2 linked regions of the Stegostoma tigrinum genome follow. The protein of the gene in region 1 interacts with the protein of each later gene in a pairwise test. Links are inferred from orthologs where the notes say so. Each region holds a gene or a part of one and is shown on either strand. Other genes may lie near its edges. The genes, in order: lmo3 and wwox.

The links.
Region 2: the proteins of lmo3 (region 1) and wwox interact in binary tests that used the Homo sapiens proteins (3 or more experiments, as listed by UniProt). The link is inferred for Stegostoma tigrinum from reciprocal best matches to the Homo sapiens genes LMO3 and WWOX.

Annotation. Positions count from the first base shown.
Region 1 is NC_081378.1:43,078,828-43,094,541, forward strand, and holds the start of lmo3 (LIM domain only protein 3), read right to left. Parts: upstream 5,816-15,714; 5' UTR 5,805-5,815; coding exon 5,735-5,804; intron 5,524-5,734; exon of another isoform or gene 5,171-5,523; intron 5,107-5,170; exon of another isoform or gene 4,783-5,106; intron 4,750-4,782; exon of another isoform or gene 4,557-4,749; coding exon of another isoform or gene 4,541-4,556; intron 4,180-4,540; exon of another isoform or gene 3,981-4,179; coding exon of another isoform or gene 3,950-3,980; exon of another isoform or gene 3,926-3,949; coding exon of another isoform or gene 3,871-3,925; intron 2,980-3,870; exon of another isoform or gene 2,958-2,979; intron 2,732-2,957; exon of another isoform or gene 2,538-2,731; intron 2,283-2,537; exon of another isoform or gene 2,169-2,282; intron 1,977-2,168; coding exon 1,763-1,976; intron 1-1,762.
Region 2 is NC_081369.1:54,059,334-54,075,140, forward strand, and holds the start of wwox (WW domain-containing oxidoreductase), read left to right. Parts: upstream 1-7,167; 5' UTR 7,168-7,215; coding exon 7,216-7,322; intron 7,323-12,218; coding exon 12,219-12,283; intron 12,284-15,807. UniProt on the Homo sapiens protein: Putative oxidoreductase. Acts as a tumor suppressor and plays a role in apoptosis. Required for normal bone development. May function synergistically with p53/TP53 to control genotoxic stress-induced cell death.

The sequences.
Region 1 (15,714 bases):
TCACATCACAACAACCTTAGCAACATAAAATTCAAAGCCATGGGAAAAAGATTGTACAATGAGGGCCCGTTACTAGAGACGTTCAGTCACATGTACACTCCCAGAGATTCAGGATTAAAGCAGTTATTTCTCACTATTGAAGTTAAACAATTAACAGTAATAGGCAATTTGGTACAAGCATGGATTAGATGAATTGAAGTGGCCTTTCCTTCATCATGTTGCAATACCCGACTTAGTTTTTGTAGATCCCTTGAAGAATTACATGCTTCCCTTAACTACTGTCTGCCACAACAATTCTACCCACAGTTAAAGCCAAAAGATGCAATTGGAAAATTCTCAACTTTATAGGAAAATAGTTTCAGCAGCAATTGTGGGAATAACATCTTTGAACCACAGCAGACCTACACTTATTAGGTGCCCGAGTCGACTCAGGCCTCTCACCCCACCAGAAGTTTAGGTGCAAAAAAAAAGGGAAGAGACCAACTTTGCTTCTGAAACAGGGAAACTTGCAAACAGGTTGAACTGCAATGAAATCAGGTGTCCAATCTATAGGCAAATTACTCCACCAACTAAAGACACTGGCATCTTTAAAATATGTTCACCAAGTTGTTTTAAAAATCAAAAGGCATCAGGAAAAATAACTAATGAAAGCAATAACAGGGCATGTAATATTTCCGACTGCTTTTTGATGACTTACTTGTGTTTTAGAAACACAGGCTGAGTTTACACAAATATGCCTTACAATTAAAATGTATTGTTAACACAGGATGCCACAACATGGGGGTGGTTATAAGTCATTTGAGTAATAATCGTTCCACATATTCCCCCATGCCCAAAATCAAGGAAAAACAGCACTCTGCACTTCAGTATAGGGAGTACCAGAGAACATCACCATAGTACGAATGGTGGACCATTGGCAAACTAATGACCCAACTCAAAACATTCTCTTGCTGCCGGGTTTTCCTCATAGCATGCCAACCCAACGTCCACTAGAGGGCGGCGCTGCAGCTTGCAGGGTTCAGCTACCAGGGACCTAATGCAGCAATTTCTTTTGGTGTCTTTGCAAAATGAAGATCAGTTTTCTAAAAAAAAGTGTTCCAAAATGGTCAAGGTTACTGAGTGGCAGGGGGAGAGAGAAAAAAAAACACAGACGTAAGACTGCAGATAAAGCACCGAGAGGAGCGGTGACCTACAATTCCTTCAAGGCAAATAAACTGAAAACCAAAAGCTGCGGTGCACATTTTAAACTCCCTCACATAACTTCGCAATTGCCAAAGACCGAAAAGCCGTCACTCCCCACAGACTATGCTCATGAACGCTCCCGCAAATGGACTCTATATTAATTCATTTTTAAAAAAATGTTGCAGTGGGGGTGGGCATGTGCAGGACAGATTGAGGTCAGTATATGTAGAAATGCACATCTGTGGTCCCTATTAACCAGAGTTGGTTCTAAAAGGAGGGGAGACGCACACAAACAGGCGACATATCAAAGACTTTCCTCACCCAGCGAGAGAGTGTCCAAGGCCGCGCGTTTTGACTGCATCAAAAGGTCATCCACCGCCCCCCACCCCCCGGACAAATACCTCAACATCATTCCACAAACTCTTTGCACCATGCTGACAAAACATTTATTTTTTTGTTCTTGGAATAGTAAATAATGAAATACACGCTTAAAAATTGGCCAGCTCGGCCGTGAAAGTTTCCCCTGTCTCAGCTCTCCCCCCCCCCCCCCCCAACCACCAAACCCCCTCGCTAGCCCTACCTCAGGTAGTCTCTGCGACAGAGGATGAGGTTCGCCTTGGTGTACAGAGTTGAGCCCACCTCTCCCAGGCGGCAGTCACAGCAGGCACATTTCAGACAGTCCTCATGCCAGTACTTATCCAGCGCCTTCAGGAGGTAACGGTCTTTAATCTTCCGGTTGCAGCCAGCACAACCCTTCGGCTTGGTGTCTGGCTGAGCTGAGAGCATTTGTATACCTACAGAAAGGAAAAGTGGGGAGGGGAATGAGAAGAGCAGGACACACAAAAAAAACCAACACAACACCACCAGGTCAGTGAATGACTGTGTCCTATTCCTGCACAGTATTCGGTTGCTCGCGTTAAGCTAAATCATGAGTACTCAGTTTCTAGCTGGGCTGTGTGAAGTGCGACAAAAAATGACAACATTACTGCTCCAACTGCCGTCTCCGGTGTTCAGGCTGGGGAGGCTTGTTGAGAAGCGGCAGCGCCTGGTTATATGCGATGGTAACTGGACAGTGTCACCCTTCCCTGGTGGAAGAGATGATGCACATCCATATGGCAGACCAGGAGACGCAAACAACCTCCTCTCAGAGCCAGCAACGAGACTTTAATCCGTTATTTACAATCAAATGGTATTTCCAACAAGTCAAACTTTCTCCATTTCACACCGCCCCGAGCCCAGTTCCGCAGCCTGATGATACAGCTGAAGATAGCGCCCCTTCCACCCAAGTACTGGTCAGTTCACTTAAGTTGAAACGATTTTGTTTTTGGTACCATTTGGTGGTTTAATGGACTAACCTCGTGTGCCCACAGTTGGAAATATCCTCCCCAGTTCACACAGATCTCAATAGTACCAAAAGTCCATTATATTGGAGGAATTAAAAAAGCCTCTTTTTTAAAAAAGGGAAGAGAATTTTTAGATCAAAACAGCAATTACTGCCTTTAATTTTCGATAGCTTCTCAGACATACACATCCATTTGATGGAAACCTAGATTTAGAAGTGAGAGTTTGGGCATGGTCCACAGTGTTTACATTTCTTAATGATCTCAGTCCATTTAAATAGCGCTCACTCCAATTGCTAAGATTTTATTGTAAACAGACCTCACCATCACCTTCTTCTGCTCTTTTACCCTAATGGCACTTAATTCTCTTCCCCCCCGCCAAAAAAAACAAAACCGAGCTAGACCAGAGGGGAGGAGCAGGGACTAACTCATTACCATGCTCAAGATTAGTAAGACTTTCACTTCCGTGGAATATGTTGCGCTCCATTGTTTTGTTTTAAAAAGAGAACAGATTCCTAAACCGATCCTTAACTCATTTGTCCCTGGGGAGGGGAGGGCAGAGAGAGAGAGAGAGAGAGAGAGAGAGAGACAGACACAGAGACTGAGGGAAAGATTTGGCAAATTGGAAGTTTTTGGTCCCGCTTAATAAAAAAAAGGTGGTAAATGAGAAGGAGAGAATTTTGCCAACACTGTTTCATTATATCATTGATGGATGGCAAACAAAAGATTTTTGAGGGGTGGGTGAATAATAAACGTTGGAATCAATCTTAAAGCCGTTTCTTTCTCTCTCGCTCCTGGTTCAATGGGTCCAGAGCGCCCCTGCGGATAACCACCCTCCGGAATTACAATGCAAATAAATGTCCCCAGTTCAGGCTTTTTTTAAAAAAAGCTATTTCTTTATAAAGAACTGGAGCTCGGAACCAATTTGATTCCCACTCCCTTCTTAGATGTAGCTGTAAGGCTGAAGAGATACTGACATTTTTCCACTCTTATCAGTTTAATTACAGTTTCCATGGCAGCAAAGTGCTGGTGCTTGGCAAAGGCCAATGAGATTTTGCGACGGCCACCCCAATTTCTGATGCAGCCAGCATACAAAACACACAGTAAAGAGAAAAGCCCACTCTCATCGCTAACATGCTCAATTTAATGTCTTTTTCTCCCCCCCTTTCTCTACCCCGCGAGAAGAATGGTTTGAATAATGCGAAGAGAGCCATTTACAGATGACAACACTTTTGACAGAAAAAAGGAATCCTTCAGAAAGCACTAAAATAAAAAATCATGCAAGTCACAGAAGGCGTCACGCTGCTTGTATAGGTGGAAAAGGCAGAGAGATTCTTATTCCACAAACCTCTGAAGAACTCGGCTTTGTGCAGAATCGCAGACACACACACATACAATAGCATCGAGAATCACGTTCGCCGCCTTACCATAAAATAACTTTCCTCCCCTTTTTTGCATCGGTGTGTGTACGTTTTTTTTTAGAAGAGGGGGAGGGGGGGGGTGCTTGGTAGGGTGACCAGGTCTCTAGCAGTTTCTTGCTGGAAGAGCCGGTTCCTTCCCCGTCAGGGTGAACTGGCGACGATGAGCGAGTACACCGAGCCAGGTCATTGTTGACACCGACAAAGACACACGCTTTACAAACGTACCGCACGTTTCCAATCATCAGCCTGACACTTCGAGGCAGTTAGTGTGAATGCGGAATGACAGCCCCACACTTTTTTGGTAGGGGGTGGGGGAAGGAATTTACTTGTAACCCCCCCCCCCTTGCAGTGGCAAGAGCTCCCCCACACAAAAAAAAAACTTTTTGTATTTTTTTTCCATTAACAAGAATCCCAGAAAATATCTAACCAGAGGAAACTTACCTTAGCCTCAAAAAAACAAATAAGTCCCCTACAGAAGGGCGCAGTGACAACGCAGAAAGTTCAAATCATTCAGAAATATAAAACGCACACTCTACAAAAGCAAAACACAGCCCAGAGTAGCCGGGAAATAGCCAGAGGGATACTCTTTCCACTTACCGTCTCTATTCAACATGAAAAAGAAACCCTCTCCAAAATATGTTCAGAATACAGCGTGTACTTTCTTCCAACGCAAGGTCAACACACGGAATGCACTTGAATCGTTAAAAGAAAGTTTTAAAGATAATGAGATCCCCAAGGAACTGCCAGTAATCGAGTTGATCACAACGGAGCTACAGGTGTTCCGTCTGGGTATCTGCAGTGTAACCTTTCCCTGCGACGAATGATGGAGGACAACTTACCTATCAGCTTATAAGAATTGTCCTAAACGAATTCAGCCTCATCATCTGCAAATTCAATCCTTCGCCAGCGAGACACACAATGCAGTAAAAGGTCATTCAATTATTAGCGAGGTAGCGCGGCTGCCGCCACACACACACACAGACGCGCACACACACACTCGACAAGGCACACGGCAGCGCTCCCCCAGACTTCGATATTACCACACGCACACACTCTGCTGTCGACCCAAGTCCAGCTATAGCCCTGGGATGAATCCTGTCTCAATGGCTAATTTCCCCATGGTGAAAATTTAGGAACAGCCGCAAGCTTTTGGTTAGTCAGAACCACACACACACACACAAGCCGTTCTCAGGGAGGGGTGTGTATAAAAAAAGCTAGAAAACCAACCTCTTGAGTGCGTCCAGTTTCAGAGACTGCGGATTAATGAGAGCTTTCTTATTGATTTAACCGTTTCACAAAAAAAGTGTAGTAGAGCCGAGTTGTGGTTCCCCCTCCCCGTTTCACAAAAAAACCTTCTCTACTGTTTAGCCCTTTACAACTATGAGATATCAACGCCTTTTGTTAGCCAATACATGCACACATACAGAGCAGCGAGTGAGACAAAATCAAAACAAATAGAACAGCTAATGAGGACAATTAAATTAATTATGTTCAAGGAGATGAGTTTTTTTTTAAAAATCTGTATGATCTGCTATCCCTCGTTTGCAAGGACTGCTCTGTAATTCATGGCAAATGATTAGGGCATCTATGCAAATCTTTGTTTAAATCATTCAACTAATTAAATGATAGGATTATTCTTCTGCCTACAGTGACATCATTTCCCAGTAATTAGTACTCTATTTAGACTGTAGCAATAGATTCTTAATAGCACCAGCGAGTTGCAGACGTTTAACCATTTTCTCACGCGTCTGAGAAACTGTCCAAAACCCCGGTTCTATATTGTACTTTTACCTCCTCGGAGGTGAATAATACGCCCCAACTTCATTTGAAGAGAAAACACATAGGAATCAATAGTTAACATTCAGCTCCATGCTACTCATTTCTCTCATTCCCACCCCCACCCACTACACAAAATGTAATGATAATAAGATGGGTCATAAAATGCTCCTCTTTTCATTATGACTGATGAAATGCATTAAAACTGACAGGGTATTACCTGACAGTAATTAGGTTTTGTCATGAATTAAATTATTTGAATGCGGACTATCTTCCCAATCGTGCAATTTTCAGGGAATTTTTTAAGTCAGAAGAGACAGAAAATAGCATTTCCCCCCTCTCTTCATAATCATATGAATTATTCACAGAATCATCACAAACCATACAGTTGAAGAGGCCCACCACTTAGTGCATTGCACAGATGTGATCAGCAGTGATGACTAGCAATGAAATACTAGGGGACACACACGCACAGTGATTTGGTGAACAAGAGGTGGAATTTAATCATCAATTGATATTCACATATTAAAAAAACAAACACTAATTCATAATCTCCACAAAATCCTCCCTTCTTTTCATTTTCAAACATAAATTTTTGCATTTACTCCCTCTGTCAAGCCAGAAGGGAGTTTTAATGTAGGCGAGCATTTTCTTTCACTGTGGGCAAATTAAGTGCTAAATTGAAAACTCTCAAGAAACCCCTTTTAAAAAGAACTAAAACAAAGTAGCTATTTCTTATATTTAAAAAAAATGTTCCAGCCCAAACTGATTCTCAAAAATATATTGCAACCTTTCCATTCATCAACTAAGGCAGTTTATCCCCTATTTCACAAGCACCCTTTAAAATCAAATTCAACACAGAAGACTGTAATAGATAGAACTCACCTTATTTCAAACCACTGCTGAGCAGGTTTCAAAGAAAAAGATCCGTCAAGTTTTCACTTTTTTAAAAAACTGCTTTGCACTAATGCGTTGTTTTGAGTTCTTTCCTTTTCCTCAAAAGGAGATCAAACAGAAATCCTATATTCACAAATAGAAACACTAAACAGTGTTGTTGAGGCAAGAATTAAGTGTTAGGCTGTTTCTTCCTCTTCTGAAAATAAAACTCTGATTCCGGGGAAGACAGAGAGAGAGCAAATTTCTTTTCATGGGGATGATGGCAGAACCAGTTAGTTGTTCCTTCTAACCGCGACAGCAGGGATGAAAGGGCCACCTGTCTCTCTCTTCTCAAGCTGAGCACAAAACCTGAGTGGGCCAGCTTCTTTTCCTCCAGTATTTAAGCACCTCACCAGGTCCCTAGTTAGCAGCTTCCTTCAGCTCATCCAAGAAGCTGACAAGTACTGTTAGAGGAGGCTGTACATGTTGCTCTAATGGACCTCATTAAGTTCTACTTACAGATGTTCTCTTAACATAATTGATCTGTGGTGAGTTGAGAGGACTGAAACTTATTCCCCAGCCCCCAATTACGGTTGGGTAATTAGATCCCCAACCTCCAATTTTTCACATTCACCCTTCTAACATTCCAAAATATCAAAGTATCTCTTTCTCACAAAGCCCCCCTTACTGGACTCCACTCGCTCATAGTATTGACAGTTAGATCTGCTAACCTTTGTAGTGACGCCAGATTTAATAGCACATTCAGTTCACTGACAGAGCTCCGTCTTTTTTTCCTCTCCCCCTTTGCTTCCTTTTTATTCTACTCTGATAACAAAGGGGAAGAGAAACTAACTTTGTATGGTTTGTACTTTTTGATAAAAGCTACTAATGATCAGCCGTGGCAGGGGAAATTCTGTTTTAATGTCTTTTTTCAAAATCTGTTTTAATTCCTCAGATAGGAACTTTAAGGAGCAATGAAGGAGAGAGGTGCTGCTCTGAAACAGTGAGGGAAAAATACTGCACACCTGGGACAGATGAAGCCAAACTACTGCTTTTATAATGCCAATCAGCAACGCTGTTATCATCCTGCTAATTAGGAAAGCAGCCTAAAACAGAGAGCACTTTGGGAAATGGTAATACTATGGTTTTGCACTTAAAAGGGTAGAAATTTCCTGTACTGTAGAATTGTGGATTGGCTTTGACAATCCTTTAACTAATGGATAAGGTTTACTGTGCACTTCTCCTCTGAAACAAAGAATTTGCCAAAGGAACTTTGATGGTCTCGAGGGAGTCAAAGGTCACATCACATCACAAAATTGGTGGAATGAATTTTCGAGATGAGGGAAACAAATTCTATACACACTAATGCAGCAGTACTTTGCCAAAAGTGAACACTTGTCTGTATTTATTGCCGGTCTGAGGGTTCAAGGCACTCTAAGAATATTAGGAAGGGCTCTGAGGAAGGGTCACTCAACCTAAAATGTTAACTCTGGTTTCTCTTCACAGAAGCTGTCAGACCTGCTGAGCTTTTCCAGTAATTTATGTCTTTGTTTCTGATTTACAGCATCTGCAGTTCTTTTGGTTTTTACTAAGAATATTAGGGGCAATTAAATGTTATGGTTTGTTAAGGGCTCCTTAATGTAATTGTGGGTGAACCCATGTAGCCTTTGTGCAGGATTGTCAAAGACTGAATATAATCCTCCTGGTTATAGTGAACATAACAGAGAGAAACATTTCAAAGTTTCACCACTTCAACAAGAGAAATGAATAATGTGGAGGTATGCTTCAAGGTTCTAAGACTGCCGGGAATGTTGCAAGAGGAGAAGAGGTCAACTCAGGTACAAAGAGGCTTAGGAAATGTGCAATGCACAACTGCTCAAGGTCAATGCAAAGTAAATAGACTCCCTGCGCATCATGGAGGTATGGTGATGAGCAGACTTGGAATCACATTTTGGGTTAGCACAGATGCAGTGACTGAGTTATGCTTGGTGATCTGAGAGAAGCTATAAGGACATTTATTGAGATAACACGGTGTGAAGCTGGATGAACACAGCAGGCAGAGCAGCATCAGAGGAGCAGGAAAGCTTGACATTTCGAGTCGGGGCTGTTCTCCAGCATTGGCAGTTCCTACTATCTCAGGACATTTATTGATCTGCATTGTCCTGCCCCTGCCAGAAGTAGGGGACCAACATCACCTAACTTCGTAGATAATGTTAGAAAGGTTTCCACACTCAACCATTTTCGTGTGTAATGTTCCACGATGAGCTTGTCTGAAGCCTTGTATCATCACAACCTAGCTACACTCATTTCAGCAAGCAAAATCCTTGCCTTCTCCAAAACGGGTGGCATCTTCAAAACATGCACACTATATAAACAGCCACAAGAATACAAACCACCTGATGTTTGCTGGGTTGAAATTTCTAAGAGTGGGCAGGAGCTCTGAGAGGAACACTATCTGACAGCTCTTTTTTTAAACATGTCCATAGTCAGTGTGGCCAACAGTATTTAGCTCCCTGATAATAAAATGTGAGGCTGGATGAACACAGCAGGCCCAGCAGCATCTCAGGAGCACAAAAGCTGACGTTTCGGGCCTAGACCCTTCATCAGACCCTTCTCTCTGATGAAGGGTCTAGGCCCGAAATGTCAGCTTTTGTGCTCCTGAGATGCTGCTGGGCCTGCTGTGTTCATCCAGCGTCACATTTTATTATCTTGGATTCTCCAGCATCTGCAGTTCCCATTATCACTGATACAGTATTTAGCACCCTGTCAAGTTCAGAATACAGCAACAGAGACTGCATTGCAGAATTATGCTGGCTTCCTGCATACGGGGAAGACATTGGAAGGACAAGAAGGAGGGAGCAGCATAGAGATGGTGGGTAATATAATGGGCAGGGGTCAGAGAGACATTGGGCTCACATTTCTGGGGTAGGGGGTGATGTGGGCAATGACCATTGGCAGCTTCATCATGGGTGAGGGCCTCTAATTGAAAGGGGGGATCATTAGACAGGCTTTCCTGGAGTTCTATGATGGAGGGGAGCACTCCTGTTCCTCCTGGAAAGACAAGTTTGATTCCTCAGCAAGTAAGATTTCCCTCCATTAGTTTCCAGATTTCTAGCGCTCATCATATTGAATGGTGGAGCAGGCCCAAAGAGGTGAATGGCCTATTCCTATTTTCTAAGTTCTCAAGTTTCGATCCTTTAATGTTTTCCAGGCTGCAGGAACAGTGGGTAATCAAGAAGGCAAATGGTATCTTGGCCTTCATAGCATGAGGATTCAAGTATTTTTAAAAATTTTATTCATTAACAGAATGAAGATGTTGCTGGTATTTATTGTCCAGAGGGCAGTTCAGAGTCAACCACATTGCTGGGAGTCTGGAGTCACATGTAGGCCAGACCAGGTAAGGATGGCAGTTACTTTCCCTAAAGTACATTAGTGAACCAGATGGGTTTTTTCCTGACAATCGATTCATGGTCATCATTAGGTTCTCAATTCCAGATTTTTTAAATTGAATTCAGACTGAAGAGAGACAGGATTGGTTAGGACTGTGTTCATTAGAGTTTAGAAGAATGTGGTGTGTGATTTCTCATTGAAAACTATAACATTCAAACAGGACTAGACAAAGTAAATGCAGGATGAATGTTTGCAATGATTGGGGAGTCCAAAACCAGGGGCCACGTTCTAAGGATATGGGATAGATCATTTAAGACTGAAGTGAGGAGAAATTTCTTCACCCAGAGAGTGTTGAGCCTGTGGAATTCTCTGCCACAGAAAGTGGTTGTGACAAAATATTGACTGTTTTCAAAAAGGAGCCAGATATGGTTCTGAGGGCGAAAGGGATCAAAGACTATCTGGAGAAAGAAGGAACAATGTACTTAATTGGCTGATCATCCTTGATCATACTGAATGACAGAATGGAATCAAAAAGCCAACTAGTCTGCCCCGCTCCAATTTTCTGTGTTTCTACTAACTTAGGAAATCTGTCTGGGGGGTCAACATAAAAGCTGGGGGTGTCTGAGGTAGGCAGCTTCATTAAAATATTTAAGTGAGACCTGAATACTGTGAGGAGTTTGTTTCCCCATGACCTTGCCCCTGCTTTGTTACAATTGAGCACAGAAAAGATACAATGGAATATACAGAACCTAGAGTGAGGCATTCTGGGTGGATGGTTTGCAATGCATAGTGGCACTAATAGCATGCGTTGAATTCACATACAAGCCGAGGTCACAATGTTGGACGCTTCTTCTCAATCTTTCCCCTCACCTGAGGTGTGGTGATCCTCAGGTTAAGCCATCATCAGTCATCTCTCTGTAATGAGAGAGCAGCCCTATGGTCCTCTAGACTATAGCAACATTACCGACTTTTATTGCCAGTTTTATGAACCAGTTCCCTTTTACACGTGGTGTCTTTAGCCAGCCTATGCCAGCATTCTTTTAATTGTCATAACAGTGAGCATTGTTCCATGATGAATACTCCATCAAAGTTGCTTTCTGCAACCCATTCTCTTTCTTGCCATGTGTGGCATAATATTTCTCATATCAGGAGAGGGATGGTGCCCTGGTGGTAATGCCACTGGATCAGTAAACTAGAGGTCCTGGTTAATGCTCTGGGGGCAGATAATGGAATTTGAATGTAGTCAATTAATCTGGAAATCAAAGCTAATCTCATCAATGGTGTGCATGTAAACACTCATCTGGTTCACTAACATCGTTTGAGGAATAGAAAGTTTCCATCCTTTCCTGGCTGGTCTACATGTTATTCCTGACCCACAGCAACATAGTTAATTACTCCTTAGACAACATGTCCATCCTAGGCCTCCTGCAGTGCCACAATGATGCCAGCCGAAGGTTGCAGAAACAGGAACTCATATTCCGATTGGGAACCCTGCAGCCCAATGGTATCAATGTGGACTTCACAACCTTCAAAATCTCCCCCTCCCCCACTGCATCCCATAACAAGCCCAGCTCGTCCCCGCCTCCCTAACCTGTTTTTCCTCTCACCTATCCCCTCCTTCCACCTCAAGCCGCACCCCCATTGCCTACCTACTAACCTCATCTGGCCCCCTTGACCTGTCCATCTTCCCCAGACTGACCTATCCCCTCCCTACCTCCCCACCTACACCCACCTCTACAGGTTCCATTCCCACCCCTTTAACTTGTCTGTCTCCCCTCCACCGATCTTCCCCTCTATCCATCCGCCTCCACGTCTCTCCCTATTTATGTCAGAACCCTCTCCCCATCCCTCTTTTCTGATGAAGGGTCTAGGCTCGAAATGTCAGCTTTTGTGCTCCTAAGATGCTGCTTGGCCTGCTGTGTTCATCCAGCTTCACAATTTGTTATCTCTAATTCTTAACAGCCGTCTGAATTGGCACAGCTAGTCATTCTGTTCAAGGATAAACACATATGAGCAACAATTGCTTACCTTGCACATCCCACTGAACAATAAAAAAATCCTGTTTATTACGTTCTTGTTATTATTTCTCTGAAACAGTGCTGTCAAACCGGAGCCAAGCTGATCTGTAAGACCAAAGCTAAGACACCTGTCTTTGAGGATGCAGTTTATTAGCTACTCAGTCTTACAGCTCCTTCCACACACCAACCCCAGTTTTATATCTACCTAGTCAATTAATTACTCAAATTACCCCAATCACCTGCTTAGCTGCGTGCTATATTAACAAGTGCAGCAATTTTGTTGTAATTTTTAATATACTTGCCTCCTGCCTACAAAGTTAAATCTAACTGCTTTACAGATCTAGTGTCCTTTCCTCCCCATTTTTCAACTTATGGAATCTTACTTCAGCCTTCACTGAATTTCAGACCTCAAGGGCTGAAATTTCCTGTTTGCCATTTAAGTGTAGAGGTAGTTGAGTTTCATGGTGCCAACTGTGCCATGGCTGGGCCAATTTGATCTTCTACCTCCACCCTCAGAAATTAACAAGTCAAATGTTTCATTGAGAATCTCATTGTGAGCAAGACAGAAATGCTCAACACTGGCTGGTGTCATCCAGTTTTAATGCCTCTGGCATTGTATCTGAAGTATTTTAAGGGGAGACAATGGCCTAGTGGTATTATCACTAGACTGTAAATCCAGAGACCACAGATAACAACCGGGCACCCAGGTTCAAATCCCACCACGACAGATGGTGGAATTTGAATTCAATAAATATCTGGAATTAAGAATTTACTGATGACCATGAGTCCATTGTTGATTGTCAGATGAAAAACCCCATCTGGCTCTCTGATGAAGGGTCTAGGCCCGAAACGTCAGCTTTTGTGCTCCTGAGATGCTGCTTGGCCTGCTGTGTTCATCCAGCCTCACATTTTGTTATCTTGGATTCTCCGGCATCTGCAGTTCCCATTATCTCTGGTTCACTAATGTCCTTTTAGAGAAGGAAACTGCCATCCTTACCTGGCCTGACCTACATGCGACTCAAGACCCACAGCAATGTGGTTGACTCTGAATCTGGGCAATTAGGGATGGGCAGTAAATGCTGCCTAGCCAGAGGCACCCTCATCCTGTGAATGAATAAAGAAAATAAAAAGTCTAGTTCCAGTTCACTTCAGACGGTGCTATCCAGGAATGACCTTTCACACTGTTCTGCTCAAGTCTAATCACTGAGGACATACCCCAGCAGAAAGTGAAGGATGCCACCTGTTTCACAGTTCAAGACCTGAAGAGTTGGTGAATGGGGTCATGAAGAGGTGGTCAGTTCTTTTTCCAGTACAGTAGCACCTCCAGACCCAGCAAGCTAAACAGAAATTGCAGCACAGTTAATGCAGTGTCCCACACAAAGAGGGTGTATAGCATTGCAGAAAGATGTTCAATGACCTTCTGCACTCTGCAAGGTTAAGTATTACCATCTTTTCTTTGCTACCTCACACTCAAAGGGCCATTACTCACTCACACTCTGCCACTGCCACATATCTCTCATAGGTCAATGGGCCACACCCTCAGTATCGAGAGAGACCCAATGTCTCTCACATATTTCTCATCTTCAATAATGATAACCCTTCTTATCTGTTGCATTTCCTACACATTCTTTGGGGATATCTAACTATTTCTTGAATGACAATTAACCACCCTTACATCCTCTTCCATCATACTCAATCCCTCCCTTTGTCTCATTGCAGAACAAAAAATGGGCTCAAAGCTGAGCCAAATTGTTAGAGACAGACAAGATGTTAGTGGGCATTAAACTTCTGACTCTGCAACAAGAAAACAGTTGAATTGGCCAGAGGAGAGCAGATTTTGCATGTGACCACTGTGAAACTCAAATGGGGCAGCTGACCCAGTTAGTTACATTGTGCTGTGCTGCTGTCCAATTACCACCAGGTGTTGATTCCTTCTTCATTTGTTCAAACTTTGTTCACGTTCTCTAAGTAATTTCCGCTCTTCTCTCATGCAGGACACCCAGCAGCACCCAGCAAAACCTTCAGAAAGGAGCCAGCGCAGGACGCCCTCAGCTCGAATATAGCTCTGGGGACGAAGCCAGTAAAACCTAAAGATAGCGTCTCACCCGAATCCTTCACCAGCTCAGAGAATTTTACACTTGGTGAGTCCTCATTTGAGTTTAGACTCAGGGATGTTCTCCTTCTGAGTTCAGTGAGCAAACAATCACTACATTGCAGAAAAGGTCTATTCAGCCTATCGAGTTTGTACAAAGTTCCCACCCCTAGGGAGTTGTTAGTTGGTTCGCTGAACTGACTGGTTTTTGTGCAAACATTTCATTTCCCTTCTAGGTCACGTCATCAGCCTCTGTTGAAGCGCTGTCATTCTGTCCTGCTTTGGATTTATATGGTCCGTTCTGTCATGGTGGGCAGTCTTGTTTCCAGTTTTGTACTGTAGTGGTATGTAGATGGGTTCCATTTCAATATGTGTGTTTATTGCGTCAGTGGTTGAAAACCAGGCCTCCAGGAATTCTTGTGCTTGCCTCTGTCTTGTTTGTCCTCGTTCTGTAACTTTGTCCCAGTTAGTTGAGGTCCTTCCATGTCGGATTGTATTGAAAGGGGGGAGAGTTGGTCGTGCTGTTTTGCTGCTAGTCGGTGTTCATGTATCCTGGCGATAGGTTTCCTGCCCATATGTCAGGCATCAGCGGTCAAAGCTGTCAGAATAATCAATGTTTGCAAAGATTGCAAAGACACAGTACACCCCGGCACACTGGCCACCCTACGCTATATTAGAAACATATCAGAACTGACTACAAGACTCCAACGACCTCTTGGAATAAGGATAGCGCACGAACCAACAGCCACACTTCGCCAGTTACTCTCAAAGATGAAAGACCGAATACCCACAATGAGCAGGACAAATGTGATATATAAAAAACCATGCAGCAAATGTGAGAAGCACAACATAGGATAGACGGGCAGGAAACTCGCCACCAGGATACATGAACACTGATTTGCAGCAAAAAGGCATGACCAACTCTCCCTCCTTTCAATACACTCAAACATAGAAGGACATCAATTTAACTGGGACAAAGTTACAGTACTAGGACAAGCAAAACAAAGACACACACAGGAATTCCTGGAGCCTGTTTTTCATCACCAATGCAATAAACAAACATGTTGAAATAGACCTATCTACATACCATTATGGTACAAAATCAGAAACAAGGTTGCCCACCATAGCAGAACGGATCAAATAAATTCAAAATTGGGATAGAACGACAGTGCTTCAACGGAGGCTACACAGCACTGATGATGCCACCTAGAAGAGAGAAGAAACATCTGCATGAAAATCAGTCAGCTCGGCGAACTAACCAACAAATCCAACTGCAACCCGAGCCACAGATATTTGTTAAAACATTAAACCCCCAACCCAATCCCTGTAGTCCTGCAGCTACCATGGCTAACCCACCTAGCTTGCACTTTCCTGGACATTTAGCCTGGCCAATCCACCTAACTTGCACATCCTTGGACAGTGGGAGGAAACCAGAGCACATGGTGGAAATCCACGCAGACATGGGGAGAACATGCAAACTCCACACAGTCACCCAAGCCTGGAAACAAATTCAGGTTTGAGGCAGCAACAGCGACTGCCAAGCTACCACACCGCCCCAGTAATGATAATCTGTGGGGAGTGTCAGAAAGGTAACACAATGCTATTGAAGACACCTGAAC
Region 2 (15,807 bases), on another chromosome or scaffold:
GAAAATAGCTAATGTATCACACCTGTTTATAAAGGGAGGGAGGCAGAAGGCAAGAAACTAAAATCTGGTTATTCTGACTGTGGCCACTTCAAGGATGAGATTGTGGAGTACTTGAAAGTGCATGACAAAATTGTGTTGTGTCAGCGCAGCTTCATCAAGGGGAGGTCCTGCCTGACAAATCTGTTAGAATTCTTTGAAGAGGTAATGGGCAGGTTAGTCAAAGTAGAGCCAGTGAACATGATCTATTTGGATTTCCAGAAGGCCTTTGACGAGTTTATGCACAAGAGGCTACTAAATAACACAGAGCCATGGTGTTAGAGGCAAGGTATTGGCATGGATAGTGGCTGACTGGCAGAAGACAGAGAGTAGGAATAAAGGGGTCTTTTTCAGAATAGCAGCCAGTGACAAGTGGAGTTCGACAGTAGTGTGTGTTGGGACCAGAACTATTCATGTTATACGTTAATGATCTAAAGGAAGGAACCGAAGCATTTTGCTCAGTTTGTAAATGAGACAAAGATAGGTGGAGGGACCGGTGGTGTTGAGGAAGCAGGGAACCTGCAGAAGGACATGGACAGTCTCGGAGAACAAGGGAAAATGTGAGTTTATAACTTTGGTAAGAGGAATAAAGGCAAAGAGTATTTTCTAAAGCTTCAGAAATCTGAAGCATAAAGGGATTTGGGAGTCCTAGTTCAGGATTCTCTTCAGGTTAACATGCAGGTTCAGTTAGCAGTTAGAAATGTAAATGCAATGTTACCATTTATTTCAAGAGGGCTAGAATGCAAGAGCAGGGATATAATGCTGAGGCTGTATAAGACACTTATCAAGTTGCCTTTGGAATATTCTGAGCAGTTTTGAGCCCTGGATCTAAGGAAGGATATACTGACGTTAGAGGGGATGTATGCGAGGTTCATGAGAATGATCCTGAGGAATAAGGGCTTGTTGTATGAAGAGCAGTTGAGGACTCTGGGTCTGTACTCGATGGAGTTTAAAAGATGAGGAGGGATTTGATTGAAACTCACAGAATATTTCCACTTGTAGGAGAGACAGGGCCTGAGGGCTCAGCCTTAGAAAGAGGGAATGCCTCTTTAAAAATGAAATGAAGAGGAATCTCTTCAGCCAGAGTGTGGTTATTCTGTGGAAGTCACTGCTGCTGAGGGCTGTGGAGGTCAAGTCATTTAGCGTCATTAAGACAGATAGATGGGTTCCTGATTGATAAAAGGGTCAAGGATTACAGGGAGAAATGTATCAGCCACGATCAAATGACAGAGCAGACTATTGGCTTAATGGCCTAACTCTGCTCCGATATCACGGTCATACCTCTGCTCCTACATTTTATGGTTTTACCCTTTATTATGTTCATTTTACACAATAAATTTTCAGTTTCACTCACCAATTTAATGACTGCTACTGCTTCAATGCTCTTGCCACTCATCACCTTACTGCTGATTCTCTGCCTTTGTAGAAAACCCTCCATAAATTTCAGCTTAACATTCAGCGGCCATATTTTATCTTACCCCACATCAAGTCCCAGTTGGCTATCACAACTATTCTCTCTGATAATTATCTGGTTCCTCATTGTCATTGTCCACTTGTCACTCTTGCACTTAAATCCTGTCAGGGCTTCATTATCTTACCAAACTTCTATTGAGTTAGCCTATACTTTCCGTGCCTTTGCCCATTACTGGTGGCTGTGCTTTAGTTAGATCTCACTGTACTGAATATCCCCATTGAATCTGAGCTGTATTGCTAGGGATAGAGAATACACATGGAACCCAATATCCCTTTTCCTGAAGATTAGACATAGCACAGTGCATTTATATCTAATTTGTAGCTTTTCTCATTGCTCTATTGCAAAGTTTTCTCTCCTCTATCATTATGCTGGAGCACTTCTGTTCTTCCAGGTAAATTGTTGCTGCCTGTTGTTCAGATATTGTTCTCTAGGGGCTTATTAAAGCCATATTTTTGACTTTCGTTCATGGGAAAAGCTGCTGTTGTTTACTTTTGGCTTCATGGGTCCTGAGGGCAGTCTACATTATAACTATGTGCTCGGCACAGGAAACTGTTATCAGCACTTTGTTTGAAAATCGGTCTTAAAAGACAAAATAGACTATCTTAGAATTTTACAAAACAAAACAGATTTGTAGGAACAACCGTTGGGGGCAGTAGTAGCATCTTGGTTACATATGTATAAATTACGAGCACAAAGAGGCCATTTCGCTCTTCAAGCCTGCCCTGCCACACATTAAGATCATGTCTGACCTGTTTGTGCTCTGATTTCCACATTGCCACATACTCCAGATAACCTTTTATATCTTTGCTTGACAAGAATCTATCTGTCTGCACCTTAAAATATTCAATGACCTCACCTCCATCTTCTGAGGCAAAGGGACAGTGCCAATAATATTTTGATTGTTCTGTGTATCAGGTTTTTTTTAGATTACATTGCCTACAGTGTGGAAACAAGCCTTTTGGCCCAACAAGTCCACACCGTCTCTTGGAGCATCCCATGCAAAACCATCCCTCTATAACCCACACACCCCTGAACACTATGGGCAATTTAGCATGGCTGATCCACCTAGCCTACACATCTTTGGACTGTGGCAGGAAACCGGAGCACCCGGAGGAAACCCACGCAGACATGCGGAGAATGTGCAAACTCCACACAGACAGTCACCCAAGGCTGGAATTGAACTCAGGTCCCTGGCGCTGTGAGGCTGCAGTGCTAACCACTGAGCCACCGTACCACCCGTTGCCTGCTTCGTTGATCTTATATCTCAATTGAATATTGCCCTTGGCAACATCATTCCAAAACACAGTGTTACTTTCCACTTGTAAAGGGATGAACTTTACTTTACTGCCACCTCTCTTAATCTCTCTACTGAAATTTGCCAGACTGCTTGTCTGATTTCCAGTAGTGGATGACCAGAAATCTTCTTCGGACTAAATAATGGAAAGACTGAAGTCACTGTATTTGATATTTGGTTTTCCCCCTCATGCTTTCTGCTTGCCACAGCTCGTCTTCTGCTGAAACCATCATCTATGGCTTTGTTATCTCCAATCCTGACTATTCCATCACGTTCCTAACCTGCCACGTTCCAAATATTGTAAACCTGAAGTCATCCAAAAGTCTGTTTTCGCTAACTTCCTTTTAGATATCACGCCATGTTTGCTGACCCACATCGGCTCCTTGTTGAACCATATTCCAGTTTTAAAATTCTCATCCTTCTTTTCAAATTGCCACACAGCCTCACCCATTTCCGTCTCTAATTTGTTCTGGCCCTTCAATCCTCCACAATTTCTGTGCAGCTGCAATTTTGGATTTTTGACGTTTCTTGATTTTAACTACTTCACCACTGACAACCATGCATTCAGCTGCTGAGGCCTAAATTCTACTGCAAATTGCTACGCCTCTCTTTTTATTTTCTCCTTTAAGATATTCCTTAAAATTGACCTATTTAACCAGACTCTTGCTCATCTGTTCTGAAATCATATGTTACTTAGATTCAAATTTTGTTTGATAATTCTACTGTAAAATGCTTTGAAATGTTTGTTTCTGGGTCACTGGGTGAATTAAGCCTCTGAAATGAATGATTATGGGCATTAGAGATACTAGGAACTGCAGATGCTGGAGAATCTGAGATAACAAGGTGTAGAGCTGGATGAACACAGCAGGGCAAGCAGCATCAGAGGAGCAGCAAGGCTGACGTTTCGGGCCTAGACCCTTTTTCTGAACTTTGTTTGGTAGTCTGCAGACCTATTTTCTAAATGTACGGTACAGAACTGAAATTCATAAACTACATTTGTATGAAAAAAACATGATGCAGATGTTGGAAATTTGAAACGAACACAGCGATTGCAGGAGAAACCCTGCAGATCTGGCAGCATCTGTAGAGAGAGAAACAGATTTAATATTTCAAGTTTGGTATGACTGTTAGAAACCCAATTTGTTGGTTTGCCAATAAAGCTAATCTACAACATACAGAACTGTAGGAATCCCAACATTTATATTAAATAGTGAAGGTAGATTTTCGCAATACTAAAAGACATTCTGCTTATCACACAAATGAGAAATGTGGAATGAATTTCAGTGAGTTGGATACTAGGTATGTATGTTGTAGTTCTGGAAAACTGGTGGCTTGTACCGAACAGCAAATCTCTTTGGCAGTTTGCAGCAGTGAGACAGTGATCATCCCCAAACAGCCTGTACTTCCAAAATGTGCAGCACAGTGTCCAACATTACATGTGATTCTGTAATTGGAAAACATTTACAACATAATGCTGAGTACGCTTTGAATTATACTAATAATGAATTTAGGATTGTCAGCTGGGCTTCCAGTAACCACACTTGCATAGACTGGATGCTACATATACTAATACAGAGGGTCTTGTTCTCAACAGACAGAAAGAGCATATACATATACTGTACCTATTTCAGTGCAACTAAAGTGGTGACAGCTATTCTCTGGTTTATTTATTACTGCAATGTCATTGGTACATCCGAGTTGATCTACCTGATTTAAAATTTAAACAAAACCTGGTAGTTAACTATTAGTCATCATTAACTGTCACATTTTCCACAGTATTGTCTACAGCTGAAAGCAAAAATTGCTGGAAATCACAGCGGGTCAGGCAGCATCTATGGAGACAGAGCAAGGTAACGTTTTGAGTCTAGATGACTCTTCATCAGAGCTGGTCTCAATAGTATCAGAGATAATGGGAACTGCAGATGCTGGAGAATTCCAAGATAATAAAATGTGAGGCTGGATGAACACAGCAGGCCAAGCAGCATCTCAGGAGCACAAAAGCTGACGTTTCGGGCCAAGACCCTTCATCAGAGTCTCTGATGAAGGGTCTAGGCCCGAAACGTCAGCTTTTGTGCTCCTGAGATGCTGCTTGGCCTGCTGTGTTCATCCAGCCTCACATTTTATTATCTTGGTCTCAATAGTGACTGTTTAAGCTTTAGAGCATCCCTCAGTGGGAGTACTAGACTTTTGAATGTGCCAATCTCCAAGATACTTTAAACTGGAAGACCAACATGTTTCCGGCAGGCCAAAGACTACCTTTCACTGAGTTGATGGCCATTCAGCTGCAATTGCAGTCAGTGTGCATGACAGACCTGCTTGGGATGAATACTTGGGGGAAAAAATACATTTCTCTTCAGATCAATGAGAAACACTTTCCACAAGCAGATGGGCAATGGTCTCTTCCAGACCACTGCCACGTTGAGCACAATAAGCAGAGGGGATGAGACATGGTACACATACAAAAGATCTGATGGTAATAGTCTTACTTATCACCAGAAGGACTGTCAATCATCTTTAATGGGTCCATTCTCCGTGGAAATGAATGCACAAATCAGAATCCAATAGCCAATTAATCAGCACCCTACTCTCATACAGTTTAAATGATGGTTTTCCCCTTGAATTGTTATTCTTGTGAATGGTCCTGATCAGTCCAATATAACCAGCCTTGACAACATTTTTGTTCAGCAATACTTATGTTCTATCAAACGACTATTATAATTGTACTGAGGTATTTCAAAGTGGTATATGATTTATGGGGACAAGTTGAATTTGATAGTGTTTTCTGTAATTTTCAAGTCAATGTTTTGGAATGTTATCTTACCATCTCTAAGATTTTTTTTGGAAGAAGGGTAGATGAATTATACCTGATATTCCGGCCAATGTTCATTCTTCGATCAATACAAAAATAACTGATTTGGGTTTTGTGACATTGCTGATTGCAGGATAGCTAATTGCCTTTTGTACAACAGCAATGGTGTGTAAAATACTTCATTGGCTGTCAGGCCCTTTGGAAATTGCCATGAAATCTGTGAATAAATCGTAAGTTTATAAGATTAACTGAAAGATCATTGGCCTGAAAGGTTAACACCTTTTAGTTTCCCACCCAAATGGAAAAATTAGTAAAACTTAACAATCCAACTTGTCTTGTATGCATCAGAACAGTGTTCTAGTATGACTACTTCTGACGAAAGGTTATTGGCCTCAACTTTGTTTTCTGTCCACAGGTGCTGCGAGAGTTGCTGTGTTCCTCCAGAAATTTCTGTTTTTAGGTGCATTCATTTTCAAGTATCACTGATTTTTTTACTGCCTTTTCATTCTAGGCAAGTGATACACACCATCTCCAGCATTTCCTGCTCACTCAGAATATTCCAGAGATTAGGAGTTAATTTTATGAAAAGGGGGTGTCACAGCAGTTAGCATTACTGCCTCGCAGAATCAAGATTCGATTCTAGCCTCGGATGTCTGTGTGGAGTTTGCACATTTTCCCTGTGTTGGCGTGCGTTTCCTCCGGGTGCTCCGGTTTCCTCCCTCATTCCAAAGATGTGCGGGTTGGGTGGATTGGCTATGCTAAATTGCCCAGTGTTCAGGCATGTGTAGCTTAGGTGGGTCATTGGGGAATGGGTCTGGGTGGGATGCTCTGAGGTTCAGTGTGGACTTGTTGGGCCAAGGAGCCTGTTGCCACACTGTAGGGATTCTATGAAGAGAGATTGAACATGTTAAGCTTAGAAGAATAAGAGATCTCATTGAGATATATGATGCTCAAGGAGATTTACAAAGTAGGGATGTTTCCTCTTGTGGGGTGATATTGAATGACAGATCATAGTTTTAGGATAAGGTGGAGCAGATTTAAAACAGAGATAAGGAAGAATTTCTTTTCCCAAAGGTGATGATTCTTGGAATTCAGTATTCCAGAGTATGGTAGATGTTGAGACATTTGAGTAAGTTTAGGAAGTAATTAGGCAGATTTTCAATTAGTAATGGTTTGAAGGGTTATGGGGAGCAGGCAGGAAAGTGAGGTTGAGGCTGATATGAGATCACCATGATGAATTGTGGTGTAGACTCGAGGAGCTGAATTGCCTCCTACAGCTCCCAGCTCTCGTACCAACGTTAGGTTTTCAGCACCGCAGTATTTTACTTTTATCCCAATCTATGGTTAAAAAAAATGAGCATTGAAGGAAATGCTTCTTCAGTTAAACATTTCACCAGACTTTTCTGTTTATGTCGGATTTTTAGCAACTGCACCATTTGGCTTCTGAGAGTAGACCGATCTTAGACACCGGTGGAGGAAACTACAACTCCCAGCATGCCAGGGTGACGGGCGAGCATGCGCAATGGCGGTTGTTTCCGGTGGGGGAGGCGGAAGTGAGGTAGGTAAACAGTCTGGCAGTTGCGGTGTGAACCTGCTAGGACGATGGCCGCTTTGAAGTATGCGGGGCTGGACGACACCGACAGTGAGGATGAACTGCCTCCTGGCTGGGAGGAGAGGACCACAAAAGACGGCTGGATTTACTACGCCAAGTAAGGAAATCACGAAGTCCAGTAACAAAATAAAGGGGAGTAGTAGGGAATTGAGGAGTGGGAGATGAAGGGTCAGGACTGAGAGGAGTGAGGTGGGTGGAGGGGTAAGGGGAGGATGTGGGCGTGCAGGAGGGGGAGGACTGAGGAGGAAAGGTGAGTCGGAGAGAAAAGGGTAGAAATGGGAGCAGGGGCTGAGAGGAAACGGAAGGGTGAGTGCCGTGAGGAGGAGGGGTTGAGAGGAGTAAGGGTGAGGGCTGAGTCGAGGGGGATCAAGAGGAGGGATGGGAGGTGGATGGGGAGGGCGTGAGAGAAAAGAGTGAGCTGAGAAGAAAAGGTGTGGGAGGAGAAGTGATGGAGGGCTGGGGGTGTGAGGGGTGACGAGGGCAAAGGTGGTGGGAAGTTGGTGGAAGGCTGGGAGAGAGGACGGGTGCGGAATAAGCAGTGTGGTGAGGGGGAGTGTTGGGTGGATAGGAGGTGTCTGGAAGGAATGATTGGGTGGGGGGTAAGGTTAGGAAGTGGAGGGGTGGAGAGTAGAGAGAGAAAAAGGGAACGAAGGGGGGTAGGAGAGAAAAAAGGCCCCTTGTAAATTGTTAGAAAGGCATCTGTCTCCTGCTGCAAAGCTAAAAATTGCTGAAACTTATTCATGTCTAAGAGTCGCAGAGATATACCACACAGGGGCAGAGTCTTGGGTCCAACTCGTCCTTGCTGACCACATATCCTCTACAAATCTTGTCCCATTTGGCCCATAGCTTGCTAAACTCTTCCTATTCATATACTCATTCAAATGCCTTTTAAATGCTGTAATCGAGCGAGCCTCCACCACTTCCTGTGGCAGCTCATTCAATACCTGCGCCACCCTCTGCGTGAAAATGTTGCCCCTTAGGTCCCTTTTAGATCTTCCCCTTTCCCCTTGCACCTTAAACTGTCACACCCCACCTCCCCTGGGAAAATACCTTGCCTATTTACTAAGTACTTTCTCTTGATTCTTATACTTAAGAAAAAAAGTTTAAAGTTTTGTAACTTCATTGAATTTAATTTTTAATTTAATGAATTCCCACAAATTTCAAGAAGTTGGCCTTGTGAGAAGGGAATGCCTGACAGTTGCGTGTAGTTAGGGTCTGGAGTGCACTGCCTGGAAGTATGGTGGAAGCAGGTTCAGTGGATGAAGGTTTATGATTATTACTATTACTGTTGTAATGGGAGGAAGTCTTAATACTCATTCGGAGAGCTGGAAGTGCAGACGTGATGGACCATTGGCTGCCACCTGCTCTATAACAATTCTGTAGAATTTCTCATGCAACATTCGTAAGGACAGTGGGTGTCAGGTTGTACAGTAGTTGTCACTTTTTATAGATCGTAGAGTTCCTACAGTGTGGAAACAGGCCCTTTGGCCCAATGAGCCCACATCGACCCTCAGAGCATCCCTTCCAGACCTATCCTCCTTTCACCCTCCTAATCTAAACGTCCCTGATCACTACGGGGCAATTTAGCATGCCCATCCACCTAGCCTGCATATCTTTGGATTGTGGGAGGAAACCGGAGTACCCAGAAGAAACTCAAGCAGACGCAGTAAGAATGTACAAACTCCACACAGAGTTGCACGAAGGTGGAATTGAACCTGGATTCCTGGCACTGTGAGGCAGCAGTTCTAACCATTGAGCCACCGTGCTGCCCATGAGACAATCTATCTCACTGAATTTGCCTTTACCAGAAATGCTACTATATTGAAACAGTTAATGTTCAGTCGTTAAATAATCTGTTATTCTCTAAAATTTTTCAAAGAGTTAAAACTTATTCCAATTCATTTTCTTTCATTATATTTTAACTATAGTGCATAAATGAAGTGCATTTTGCTTCACCACTGGTAGTTTGACCAATTAAATTACAACCGGAATGCAATGCCGAGCACTTGCCTTTTAAAATAAGAAAAAGTTAGGGTTGAGGCCATCTTATTAATATGATTTTGTAGAATCACTTCTCAAAAAGCATAAATAACTTTTTAATCATTGCCTGTTCTATTTCCCATGAGTAGAGTTTTTAAGGTAAACAAACATCGATTTCATTGCTTGAAAGCAAATCTATAAATCAATGAAAGATAAATAGTACTTGAATTGAATTATTTTTGTTCTGTTGGGTCCAAGCAATAACTTGCAATCCCTTCTAAGCTTTTATTTTAACTGTTTTTCTCTACTCCCTGGAATCCATCTCCTGGAAGAAGTTTTCCTTCTTTCTATCCAATTTCTTAAGGCTGAATGTGAATTTGTGATCTAGCAGCTTTTACCTTTGCCACCATAATGGGAATATTTGACTTTGAAGTGCAGATGTATGTGAAAGTCGAGGTGTGGCTTTTGAATTTTTAATAATTGTAACGGCAGATTGCCTGGGCTTTCTTGTTACTGCTGAGCAAAAAGCTGCCATTTCTGATAGCCACAGCAGAAATCATACTACTATGTGGAATTGTATCTCTGTGCCTATCATTTGCCTTTTGGGAGGAGAGAGGAACTCAACTGGAAAGAACAAAAGAAGCAGGCTCTTGTATTTTTACCTTGCCCTTTTCAAAGGTAGTATGGTTTACCTTTGCCTTGCTGTAGTTCAACTTTTGACTGCTGTCATGTTTGCTTGGATAAAACAAAACAAGTGTCTGTTTCCAAAACACTTGGCTCTCCGACCAGAGCTAACTGCTTCTAAAATGGAATTTAGCAAAAAGAGCTTTTGCCAGGCACTGATTTTCACTGTGCACTCTGAGGAACTGGTTGTATTAAATCAATGCATATGTGAAGTCAAGACACGAAGCTCAAATGAGTTCTTTTTTAATTAAAATCGAAATACTGAGTGTTATTTATTACTTGGTGAATGAGAGCTTTTGGTAACGTACTTGTTTTTCATTTTCATGTTTGTTCAAAGGTGTTTTAAAATTCTGTGATCATATTGACTCTCTTTTCCTGGAATGAAGAATAGTTCCCTCAGTATACTCTGAATGCTTTTAAAATTAGCTGTCATTCAAACGGACTGAAATACCTGACAGGATATAAATCCAATAATTATTTCTAAACTTGTTTTTCTATTTATAAATACTCCAGTTCTTCCTACCCTTAGTATTCGGATTTGTGAAATCATCACAAGATTGACAGACTTGAAAAATTTACAAGGATGTTTCCAGGAATTGGAAGTTGCAAGGAGAGGCTGAATAGGCTGGGGCTAATTTCCCTGGAGCGTCGGATGTTATACAGAAGCTTATTAAATCACGAGATGTATGGATAGGGTGAATATCCAAGGTCTTTTTCCCAAGGTAGGGGAGTCCAAAACTAGAGAGCATCAGTTAAGGTGAGAGGAGGAAAACTTGAAAGGGACCTTAGGGACAACTTTTTCACTTGGCGAGATGTATGTATGGAATGATTTGCCAGAGGAAGTGGTGGAGGCTGGTACAATTACACCATTCAAAAGGCATCTGGATAGGTACATGAATAGGAAGGTTTACAGGGATATGGGCCAAATCCTAGTAAATGGGACTAGAGTTTAGGCTGACTTGGACTGAAGGGTCTGTCTGTGTGCTGGATAACTTTGACTCTGTTTGAAGCTAGAGTAGAAAGATTTCATGTCTTGACAAAAATGCCCTGCAACGAAGCTACTGTGTTTTATTTCATTAATATTCCACCTCCTACAGTGCTCTCCTTGCCCAATCTGTTTATGTGCAAGACTGTGTAGATTAAAAATCTGTCTGTTGGAGTTGCAAATCCAATGAAACTTTGAAGCGATGCTTAACCTCCAGTATAGAGCTCAAGTTTAGCAGACCAGCAAATATGGCTCAGATATTCATATGCAACAAATGATTTTCAGTATGGTTCACAGTCTTGTCATAGGAAAGTACTTGTTATTTATGATTCTCATTATTATTAGCAAAGTAAATTTTAAAAGAAGTTGTATTTTTGATAACACCATCTGTTGCTGATAACTAATCTCATGTCTCCACCTCCATACTTGGTTAACTTTCTTGCAGAAAACCGTGTCTTCACCATTTTGTCACTTACGATCCACTGATTCATTGTGCAGCAAATCGACTTACAATATCACAATCATAGGTTGATTTGAAAATTAATTTGTTTCCCTATTTGTTTCTTTCTTTAGCCATTTATTGTTGGCTGTATTGTCCTCCAAAATAGCAAATTATTGTACTGCACTTTAACATTGTCGGCCAGTAAGTGCTACTTCCATGGGATACTCTTCCTAGGCCACTGTTTAAGTCTCATACTTTAATTAATTCACCCATGCATATAGCCCTCTAGGGTGAAGAAGTTATTTAAAATCCTTTTTAGGTTAAGAAATGTCTAACTTGTAAGTGTGTAACCCATTATTCTGATACTAGGTTTTTCAGCCAGTGTCAGTATCATGTGTGGCTCATTCCGTTTAATATTTATTTAAAATCAGATTGTGTTGTGGCCAAGGGTCAAACTGAGCTAAGTTTTAAAATGACAAATTAACACAGCATAGTTTCCCTTCTCCAGTCCCTCCGACCTCAATCTGTGCCTCCCACCTCCAGTTTAGTTGGATCATTGTAATGTACGGAAATGAAGGTTGCATTAGAGCAAGAACGAGTAGCCTCTGTATTTCAGCTGTCGACTGGCAGCCACTTGCGCCGAGTGTGGATGCGGAGGATCGAATTTTGGGTTATGAAGTTGTATAAAATAACATACAATAAAATAATTTTTTGTATTGAAGTATCATTGTAGCATTTTTATAGTTTACAATTTTGCTTTCACTGAATTCATTCTGTTATGCTCCTTACGTTGGTTTGTCTTTCTGTTTCATGGTTGTTTACAAATGTTATGTTTTGATCTGCAGGTAAATCACCAAAGAATTTTAAGCCACGAGTTTTACAATTTTCTTTTTACTCAACAGTCATATTGAGCTGAAGACCCAATGGGACCATCCCAAAACCGGGAAAAAGAAACGTGTAGCTGGAGGTGCGTATTATAAATCACAAAGTTAAAATATTAAAACAATCTATATGATTCTTTTAGCACAAATTTTCTTTTTACACATTCATGGGTTGTGAAACCCAAGACATGGGCAAGATGGTAATGACTGATATTAAAGAAGTTCAAGACAGCAGGTTTTAAGTCATGAGGCAAGATCATGCAAAGTAGGCTTGTTTTCTGTAGAATTTAGATATGGAGGGATCTGATTAAAGTCTTCAAGATATGAGCAACAAAATAGTGTAGATAAAAGTAAATGATTTCTGTTGGAAATTCTAGAACTAGGGGGCGTAAAATTAGGGTCAGAGTGTTAGGAAAGATGTTAAGAAGCACTTCTGCATCACAGAGGTAGGGATTTGGAGCTCTCTTTCACAAACGGCAGTTGATGTTAGATCAGTTGTTAATAACAATTTATCTATTTCACATTTAGAATTAAGTTAAGCTGTTAAGGAATCTAGGTCAGAGGCAGGTGTAACAAAATGTTGTGCTGGAGGAACACAGTAGGCCAGGCAGCATCAGAAGAGCAAGAAAGCTGACCAATCTAAAATGTCAGCTTTGCTGCCCCTATGCTGCCTGGCCTGCTGTGTTCCTCCAGCTGCATACTTTGTTATCTCTGACTCCAGCATCAGCAGTTCTTGCTATTTCAGAGGCAGGTATATGTAGTTAGGCCACAGATCACCCATTATCTCATTGAATGGCGTTGGATCAAGTCAAAGGGCTGGATGCCATTTCCTATGCAGACAGTTTCGTGTACAGTGAGTTGCAGGATTTTTCACTGCTGATCTGTGGCATTTAAGTTTTTTGATTAGATGTATATTTCATTAGGTTTGGCCAAGATCTTAAGATTGAAAATCATGATAATTCTGTATGAGCAGCTGTTGGAGGAAATTGATTTGAATTGAATTATTGCATACAAAATGAAAAAGTTATGCTTACTGAGAATTTGAGACTTGGTTAAATGTGCTTGAGGGACTGAATTACCATCTCCTGATCCTAGTTCTTACGTTTGCTGTGTAACAATAACATCCTTTCTCAGAGAAGGATACAAAACAGCGCACAATATTCCAGGTGTGGGCTCACCAAGGCCCTGTATAATTGCAGCAAAACATCCCCACTCCTGTTCGTGAATCATCTTGCTATGAATGTCAACATATTATTTGCAGCCTTTATCACCTGCTGCACCTGCCCACCTACCTTCAGCAACTGGTGTGTGAGGACACCCAGATTTCATTGGCTGCAAATTGCATTCAGAGGAATTTGCATTCAGATAATTAATCTACCTTCCTGTTTTTACTACTGTAGTGGATAACCTCACATTTATGCACATTATTCTGCATTTGCCTACACTCAGCTTGTCCAAATCTCACTGAAGCATTGCTCCATCCTCCTTACAGCTCACCCTCCCTCCTAGCTTTGTAATGGGCAAATTTAGGAATTTTAGTTCCTTCTGTGGTTGGTTCACTCGCAAGCTGGTTTATTATTTCGCGGAAGTTTCATTGCCCTGCTGTGCAACATTTAGTGCCGCCACCGATGAAGCGCTGTAGTGTTTTGTGTTTGGACTCTATATATACACCACTGCGAAGAAATACCAGAAATGAGGTAACCAACTCCAACGGACCCCAGCATTTAAATACCAGGCGGAGAAACACACAGCGCTTAATCGCAGACTGCACTAATGATGTTACCCAGCAGGGTAATGAAATGTCTGCGAACTAACAAACCAGCTCAGCTAGTGAACCAACCACAGCATCCACACCCCAAGTTGCAAATCTACTCAAGAATTTAGTTCCCTCATCCAAATCGCTAATATATGTAGTGAATCGCTGGGGACCTAGCCCTGATCCCCCTCATACCCCACTAGTGACTGCCTCCCATTAGGAAAAAGACTGACTTGTTCCTCCTGTTTTGTTTGCTACCTACCAACTAGTTTTCTGTCCATCTCAATACACTACTCCTAATCCTATGTGTTTTAATTTTACACACTTTCTGAAAGGTTGCAAAGGAACATCACACCTTTTGGGAAAATGTATGGATATTGGCATTTTGCTGCACATGGATGCTTGCTGAAAGTTCCTGTTTGTTTCCCAAATAATATGAAACAATGATGAAGAGTCATCTAGGCTGAAAGTGTTAGCTTGCTGTTTCTCTGTGGATGCTGCCTGACCCGTTGTGATTTTCAGCAGTGTTTGGTTTCGGTGACGTTGTTTTGATCACCTACTGTTGTTTTTTGTTGCAAAAGAAAAGTGATTACTTCCAAAAGCTCAAAAAACTATCAAGGTTTGTGTTAGGAACTGAAGTTGCCACTTCTTACATATTTTGGCAAATAGCTTGAATTGTATTATTCTTTTCATTCTGTGCTCCTTTGTAGCATCAAAATCACAATGAGGAGGCATGGTTTTTATACAGGACTGGAAAAAAATTCTGCTCTAAGAACAAACAGACTATTGTTCGTTTATTAGGAAATGGTTCACGTTCATATGAGTAAGGGGAACTAATGTATTGTGATATTGCCAAATAATTGAAAATGCATGTCGAGAACTGAAATGTTTGTAACTTTGAGATATATAAAGTATAAAAAACACAAAGATCAGTTCTTTACAGGTGTTTCAGAATACATGTACTATTTCATGCATTGCCAGTCTTTTTATATTTCTGAAGTGGGTCTGTTTCCTTTTCAGACAGCAACAGGTATGAGAAGTAGACAGTTGCCCGGTATTCTCTCTCCCTGTTGTTAACTTGGTCACTTCTCATGAGCATGGGCCAGGATTTACTTCTCTGGCAATAAAGAAAGACTTCAGCCTGAATTGTCTTCCAATTAACTTCAAGTTTTTACTACTGAGAGCACTCTCTGAAAAGGATTCCTTGAGTAATGGCTTCAAATGATGGGCCACATTGGATACAGTTCAGTTTTCACATTTAAACATGACATTTGTGCCGCAGATTATAAATGTTAAATAATGCTATGGGAGATTTATAAACTAATTATACCAACTTAGATTTTTCAAAAGCGTACAAAGGTTGTTTTCCTCCCACCTCTAAGTTTAAGAAACTAGTCAGATGGCTAAATACTATAACTATGCTGCAAAGTGGAAGCTTTCTCTGTTCTGAGCCCGACATTTATGGGGACTAAGCTTTTTCTAGTGTGTTGTAGTTGCTGCAAAATATGACCTAGCCTGTGAGTGTTGCATACTCAGTACAATAAACTTTGAACTTAGTGTTTGAGTGTCTGAAAATGTTATACTTAAATTATAGATCACAAATTATATAAATGCACTACAAATCAGAATGTTCCCTGCATTCGGGGAGGCCAGTTGACCCATAAAGTCCATGACTACTCTGCAAGAGCAGTTTAATCAGTCCCATTCCCTCCCCTTTTCAAGTAACACTGCAAATTCTTTTTCTTCAGGTGCTTATCAAATTCTCTTTTTGAACTATAATTTAATATGTCTGTACTATACTTATATGCAGTACATTCCAGATCCTACTACACAAAAAGGAAGTTTTTCCCTTCA